2 linked regions of the Caenorhabditis elegans genome follow. The protein of the gene in region 1 purifies or fractionates together with the protein of each later gene. This does not show direct contact. Each region holds a gene or a part of one and is shown on either strand. Other genes may lie near its edges.

The links.
Region 2: the proteins of cutl-28 (region 1) and gcy-4 fractionate together in Caenorhabditis elegans (co-fractionation; one large-scale study listed by BioGRID). This does not show direct contact.

The regions. Positions count from the first base shown.
Region 1 is NC_003282.8:682,270-686,194, reverse strand, and holds the start of cutl-28 (CUTiclin-Like), read right to left. Parts: upstream 1,699-3,925; 5' UTR 1,691-1,698; coding exon 1,520-1,690; intron 1,358-1,519; coding exon 1,213-1,357; intron 1,160-1,212; coding exon 1,036-1,159; intron 561-1,035; coding exon 418-560; intron 376-417; coding exon 228-375; intron 178-227; coding exon 47-177; intron 1-46.
Region 2 is NC_003280.10:10,306,936-10,310,860, forward strand, and holds the start of gcy-4 (Receptor-type guanylate cyclase gcy-4), read right to left. Parts: upstream 1,892-3,925; coding exon 1,680-1,891; intron 1,545-1,679; coding exon 1,302-1,544; intron 1,236-1,301; coding exon 1,009-1,235; intron 812-1,008; coding exon 659-811; intron 610-658; coding exon 512-609; intron 470-511; coding exon 344-469; intron 299-343; coding exon 160-298; intron 111-159; coding exon 1-110. Other genes in the region: ZK970.8 (Mss4 protein), read left to right, coding at 2,702-3,133; Receptor-type guanylate cyclase gcy-5, read right to left, coding at 3,465-3,865, 3,916-3,925. UniProt on the Caenorhabditis elegans protein: Guanylate cyclase involved in the production of the second messenger cGMP. Regulates chemotaxis responses toward Br(1-) and I(1-) salt ions in ASE right (ASER) sensory neuron.

The sequences.
Region 1 (3,925 bases):
TGAAAAATTTAAGAAAATACCATTGTTCATCGAAAAAATTACTCACAATTAACACAATCATCCAAATCACCATGAAACAAATTCGGCTTCATTGATTCCAGCGGGCTTCTTCCTAGCATTCTAGCAGATGCCCACATTAAGTTACATTCGTTGGTTGAGTTGTCATAGGTATAGGATCTGAAAAAAATTTCAGCTTTTACAGATAATAGTTTAAGCCTTCAACAAACCTGCAAACATCTGAAATGCGACTTCTTATCACACACATTTGTTCACATTCATCAAAACTTCCAACATTTTGAATCAACTGATCACTGACCGATTTCAGCCCACCCCCGTTGACACGCATAAATGTACACGCTGATGACGTCATCGCATCTGAAAATTTCGGAATTTTTTGTGCAAAAAAAATTGACCTACAATCAACGCAATTGTTTTCATAAAGATCCACAGAATAGCTTGCTTTGAAGTATAGTCTTGGATTGTACACAGAGTTAAGGGATACTCTGGATAACTGGCATAACGAGGTGTCATTGTTGTGCAGAGCAGCACGACAAGATGACCTGAGAAAAAAATTGACTGAAATTTAAAATAATGTCTTGAAAAGATTTTTAATTTTTTGAATATTTCCAGAATATTATTTAAAAAACAGTAAAATTTTTTAACGCATCGAAGTTTAACAAAACAGAACACACTTTTTTTTTTAAGTTTTTAATTCCAAAATGAAAAGTTTTATGTATGTAGGAACTTTTTTTACATTTATTTTGAAAAATAAAATTTGATGATAAGTTTTCGATCAGAAAATTTCAGATTTTTTACAAAGAAAATTCTTCAATAGACTTCAAATTGTTTCCATCATCACAACATATAATTTTAAAATTCAGAAATTATTTTGAATTTAAAAATATGTTATAAAACTGCATCGAACTCAAAAAATATTTTAAACTAATTTTCTAGAAAAAAAACGAAAAAATAATTTTTCAACTTTATCCCTTTTTCACTTTTTGCGGTTTTTAAGGTATATTATTAAAAACTAACTCTTTCTGACACTGTGACAAGCATTCTTCCATCGAAATCGAAAATGTCTTGATAATAAACGATGAGTTGACCAACGACCTCCCTGGGAACTTTTCAAACGCAAAACTTCTCTTCAAACATTTATCTGAAATTAAAGGGGTGAAAGTCAAAATGACCACCTCGCCGTCAATTACTCACTTTCCAAACAAGTTTTCGTTCCTACCGTCCGAGATCCAGATGTCGTTAAGACGGGTGACTTCGAGTGAAGATGGCAATTGAAACCACCGTTCTTCTTTTCAATGGGTTCGGCGTTCGAGAAAGTGAAATGCGTGCAGTTTGGTACCTGACGAGAGTTTTTCGGTCGTTTAGTGAAATTATATTAGCCAGGGAATTAGCTACTAGTTGCTATATGGCTTCCAAGGAGGCTAGATCCCAGCTCCCTTTAAGTTGAACTAGAATGCCGGCACATCCCGCGAAACGTCAGCCGCAAGACAAAAAAGCTTACCGATGAGCAAAACCTGGTGCATTGTGATAGACTATCCACAGATTTTCGAATAATAAGACTTGCAGTGGAGTTTACGGATTTCAAAGTCTCCAAGATAAAAGTGATCTCACATGGTGATACTGTAGACGGGAGTGTTGACAGAATAAGAATCAGGAGAAAGGGATATTTCATGGCATCACCTGGAAAAAAAAGAGGAAGTTGTAAGGAAAAAGCTTGGATATGGAAAAGTACGGAAAGACGGGAAATGTCTGTTTGTTAGTGTTTGTAGGATTTCCATTTATTTCTCTATTTCTAGATTTATGCAGACCTAGAAAAAGAAAACTGAACAAGTTTTAGTTCTGAGGAAGACCCTAGGCGGCATTTATGAGTCTTCCTGGAATAGTTTAAAGTTCGACAGAAAGATGAAAACGTTCGACAAAAGTATGACAAACTTCTACAGAAGGTTGAGGCGTAATACGATGAATTGCTCTTGCAATTGGACAACGTTTGACAGAAAGCTGTCAAAGTTTGAGTGGTCAGAAATGGAAAAACTTTCTACAGAAATATCACAAAGTTTGACAAAAAATAGGAAAACGTTTGGCAAAGTTATCACAACGTTCGAACAAAAACTGAGCTAATGGAACTCTTTTTGAAAATTCAAACGTAAAAAACCTCAAAAAGTCAAGCTATTTCGAAGATGTATGCAAAGTGAAACGGAACTTGGACAGGAAAAGTTTAAAGTTGCATTCGTTCCGGCAGGTTAATTAATGGACACCAGCAGTCGGAAGGGCGGTGAGGAGGGTAGGCGCATCGTCGGTTTAAACATGTTATGGGGTTACAAACGACTAGCATGAGTTATTCGAAATGGAGAGAAACGGGCGTTCTAATTGTTTGTAGAGTTTGGATTAAAATTTTTTTTTGACTTCAAAATTTCCAAAAAAAAAAAATTTGGAACTTCAAATTTTAAAAATCCTCGTAAATCTACACAAAACTCAGTACGTCTAAATGAAAATTTTTAGATATATATAAAAAATGGTAAACCTGCAAGAAACCACCTGAATCTACACAACCGTCATAAACCTTCAGAAATTCTGTAAATATACAAAATTGGTAGCATCTACATTAACACTTCGTATATCTACAAGGCGCCACGTAAATCCACACAAAATCTCGTATATAACAACACAGCTCAGTAAATCTACACAAAACACCAAAAAATTTGTTTTTAACTCCTATATTCATGGTTTAATGACATACCAGGTAAGTGGTTTGGCTTCTACCTACCACCCCAAAACGGGAAAACAGTAGACATATATCTATCGTTTCGGCGGTAAGCAAACATGCCGGACACTAAATGACCAGCAGCGGCCAGCCGACGATAATAGCAGGCCGCCGCCTGAGAGACGCAAACATACTGGAGAATCAAAAGGGCACAGAATCGAAAGTGACGGTTACACGGAAGTAGGTGAAAGTTTTGTCCAACTGACGCTGTGAAGCTTCATGGGATTCAGGTCACATATCCCAGCTGGGCAACCTGTTGATAGAATTGTGCAAAAAAGGTTCTCCCCGGCCGGGAATTGAACCCGGGTCTCGCATGTGACAGACGCGGATACTCACCACTATACTACCGAGGACACGGGAATGCAGTGTAATCGGTGCCATTAAAAAAAAGGAGAGAAATGAAAGAGATAGCGAGAGGCGAAAGTGGCAGGCAGCTGAACAAGCACAATGAGGAGACGGCTGGCAGTATAAGGGAGTACACAAAATTCAAACTCCTTAAATATGCAAGAAGGCCCTAAAATCTACTAAAAATCTAGCAAATTTACATGAACACACGTATATCTACAAAAATATCGTAATAATAAACAGAAATCTCGTAAATCTACACAAACCCTTGTAATCGACAATGAAAACTACAAAAAAAATTCAAAAACCTATTCAAAAGACCACGTAAATACACATAAAAATTTATAAATCTACACAAAATTCTGTTGGTCAACTTGTAAATCTACATCAAGCTTTGTAAATCTACACTAAACTGACGTAAATCTACACAAAACATGAACATTTGAATAATATTCTATGCATATTTCGATTTCTTCTGCATATTTTGTTTTCACTAATCTCAATTCAACACACATTATTCTCGGGAATATATCTACGCCCCTCTTGACTCTCTCTCTGCATCTCTTCAAATCTCACACACACTCTATCACAGCGTCCAGCAGAGAACCAATTGGTGGATTTATGAAACAATAAAGATGTGCGCGCAAAAAAAAAAACAACAAAAACGATGAGACAATCCGAAAAGAAAGTGACAAGCTGTTGAAGAGAGATTATCCGACGGGCGGTGGCGGAAAAGGTTCCGGATCAACTGGAATTATCTGATCCGGTGATTCGCTTGATTGGAAAACATTGAAAAAAGAA
Region 2 (3,925 bases), on another chromosome or scaffold:
CAAACTGATATCAATCAGTGATATTTGATCGTATTCACTATTCAGCCCATATACTTGGTACAATGGTTTTCTTGCCAAATCTTCGTTTAATTTAACTTCGCCGGTCATTCCTGAAGTTTATATTTTAAGTTTAAAGAGATTCTCTATACCATAGTTTACCTTCAAAAGCAGTGGTAAACTTAGGAATTAGCAGTGACAAATTTCCGTAGACATTCGGATCAGTTGAATTCAAACTTGACACTGCCATTCCATACATGTAAAATACATCAAACAAATGTCTGGCATAGGCTCCCATGCCCTACAAACAAAACATATTTTCAAATTTCTATATCAATTCACTAACCGTAGCATTAGTTATTAAACATTCTGGGACTTTACAACTCAATGGGGGCTCTCGAATAGCATATACTATATTTTTAGTCATATATTGCAGAAATGTTTTGTCTCGAACTTCACTGCTTGTATCTATCTAAAAAATATATTTAGAGAGACCTACTGAACAGTAAATCACCACAATCATTTTGGCAGCTACACTCTTTGCCAAATCTTCCATACCATCAGGATTCACAGTGAATGATTCCCATATTGGAGGTAGGCCAGAGAGGGTTACTGTAGAATATAGGAATATTTGATAAAAATAATCACAAGTAGACCTTACATGGCTTTTTCCCAACAGAAGTTTGAACTCCAAAACCGACGCTTCTCATTGAAAGCATAACATGTACATACTCACTAGAATTCATTCCGAGTAAACCAGCTTGAATCAGATAAAATCGCTTTTCACCTCCAGCATGGGCGCAGAAAAGGATTACTGGAAATGGTTAAGGTAAAAAACAAAATATTCAAAGCAAATGAGTTTAAAGAATTCAATTGCGGAAGCTGCTCAAAAAATTGGCTCTCTCTTTCTCTGACAAGTTCCGATAATATGCAAATTTATTAGAAATATGCACGGGGTGAAATGAGATTAGTCAGGGTCAATACTCCCAAAATTGAATTAAACCCATTTACCTCTAGCTCTAGTCTTGACTACTTGAAGCGTTGCACTTGTGCTTTCACTGTTGGAACCATCGATTTCTGCCTTCATTACAATTTGAACAGACTTGCTCTCATTATACAAGGACTTCTCCACATCATTTACGACCGAACTACAGTAGTCCAACTCATTCTTAAAATACAACAAAGCTACACGATCCCAGCCATAAATCTCTAGAAGTTTTGATGTAACTACTCCGAGTCTGCAAATTGGCACTACGAACTGCTCAAATTAGTTGTCCAAAAAGCCACGATGAAACTGAACTAACGTTTTGGTGCTTGGCAAGACCGACGCAACAAATGGAAATCTGTTCATATCAGAAATCTCCGATTCACTGACAAATCCCCAACCGAGTACTGGTTTCTTGTATATTGTCGACAGAGTTCCCATCATTTTTAGTGCCGGAGCACAAGGCGGTCCGATGATCACATCGTAGTTATTGGTTTTCATAAAGTTCAGTCCCGCCCTGACAGTATTTGCCAAGTCACATTCTGTGTACTCAACGTGGAATCTGGAAATATAAAGTTGCAAACGGGACTAGTAATAAAACAGTGATTTCAGTGAAGAAAATTTTGAAATTTAATTTTTTTTAAAGAAAAAAATGAGATAAATTCCTGAATTTTTTAAAAAACTATTTAAAGCTCACTCGAAATCAAAATTCAACATATAACCATGCGATTTCAAATATTGCAATGCCAATGGAACAGCTCCACCAGTATATGCCCATCCAATTGATCCATTTTCAGTTTTCAAAGCTGCAGTTATTCCAACCCGAATTACAGGCCTTGGGCCTTGACCATGGGTCAAATTGTACGTTAGAATGGTAGAAATAAAAATGTAATAATTTAATTGGCGCATTGAAAAATAATATTTAGAAAAGAGTATCATAATTCATGGAAGTAGTGGGCAGTAGATGATTGGCTTCTTTTAAGCTTTACCCCCATTGACGTATGGCTGCTCTTTTCGAGAAATTTTAGAAATAGAACAGGAATAACACTTGGCGGAATGGAGTTTTTATCTGAAAAATTTCAGATTTGACCTCTCATGCTCTAGCAGGGGATCTGCTTCCATATGCCTCCCGAGCTACTACTGTGGCTGAGATCGTGACGAGTTCCACGCAGAAATACATCATCCGCTTTTAAACTGAAGTGTCAAGTTCTGACTTATGTAAATATAACATAAATTTGACAGAAAAGTGGTATTTTTTATTAAAAAATATGTGTTGGAAAAAACGTCCCAATTTTAAGTTTTTCCTGAAAAGTAAAAAATTTCGGTGATTCCAATGAGTTTCCGTTTATACGGTGCCATTGATGACAAGGAAGATTACGAGTTTCAACGGAGAATATTTAAAAAGTAAAAAATATAATAGCGTGTAAAAATGTTTTGAATTGTTTTTTTGTTTTCAATTTTACACGTTCTCCTTCCCCATCACTTTCAATTTTCTCTTCATTTCAATTTTCATGGTCAATTTCACAAGCGGTGAGTTTTAATTTGCTGAAATCTAAGCCATCCACGTAGGCTTAAAGTTGCCTACCTGAATAACAATAGGCGTAGGTCGCCTATCAAACTTGTCAGGCATGAGGCACTCAGGTAGGCACTTTAATGTCTTCGTTGAAGGCACTTTAGTGTCTTCGTTAAGATCTCGAATTCTGAATCAATCTTTTTCAGATGCAAGTACCACTGAAACTTCAACTATTCGCGATCCGACCGCAACCAGCAAACACACCGGTAAATGGAAAATGTGAAAAGGTTAACAAAGACGATTTGATCAATGAGGACGACCGTAATCTGCACAAAGTGGTCTGCCGTCGCTGCAAGTCGGTCATCTTCCCGGAGGACGTTGTGATGACCGTCGAGAATCAGCCATATCAGCTTCGTGTGATGACACATCAAGCGAAAGGACCTCTGGCTCAAGAGAAAATCAGTTGGTGGTGGTATACTGAGAATGATATGATCTTCGATACAGTCGGATGGCAGACAGTCGACAAGAAGAAGGTGTTGATGTGTGGAGACTGCGAGTTGGGACCGATCGGTTTTCGTTCGGAGGACAATAAGAAGTTCTGGGTGGCTGTTGAACGTGTCAAGTATGAAAAGTCCTAGTTTCAAATTTTTGTTTATGAAATTTGGAATAAAGTATCAGGATTTTAATTGAATATAAATATTATTCCGATAAATGATTTTTTTCAAACTTTTTCCATATTCTTGTTATGTTTCTCTTTGTTAAATTCTCACTTTTAAGAGGGTTTTTTTCCGATTTTCCAGCCATAGAGAAAGGTGTGATCCAAGAAATTCTGGCAGACTATTGTTCGAGTTAAGTATTTCCAACTCCCACCATTTGCAATCAAAGACAGCTAACAAAGAAAAAGAACGTTCATTTATTCAATTTAACTATTGTTTTTAACATTCATTAAATCTTAATATTCGTATATATTTAAACAACTTTTAACGTATCCATTTTTGATTTTCCACTCCTCTGCCTTTCTGGATAAGGTGTCACTGCTCGCTTCTTTAAATCTTCTTTCATTTGTGGAGGCCAATTCTCATCAGTGATAGGTGGCGTTGTTCGAGTGCTCAATGATTTTGTGTCACTGTCAGTTTTTCCGAGAACCCAAAATGTTTCCATTACACCTTTTCCTTTTATAATCACTTCTCCTCTTGAACTTGTTTCATATTGATGAGGATAATGATCTGTGAGCAGAGAATGTGCAGCTTCTGACATATGAATCATTGATGGTTTTCCATTACTTTCCATTCTCGACGCAGTGTTCACTGTATCCCCAAATAGGCAATAACGGGGCATGGATAGACCAACGACACCGGCAACACAAGGCCCTGAAAAAGTAAAATTCGTTTAAATTTTTAAATACATACGCCAAACTCACCACTATTAAT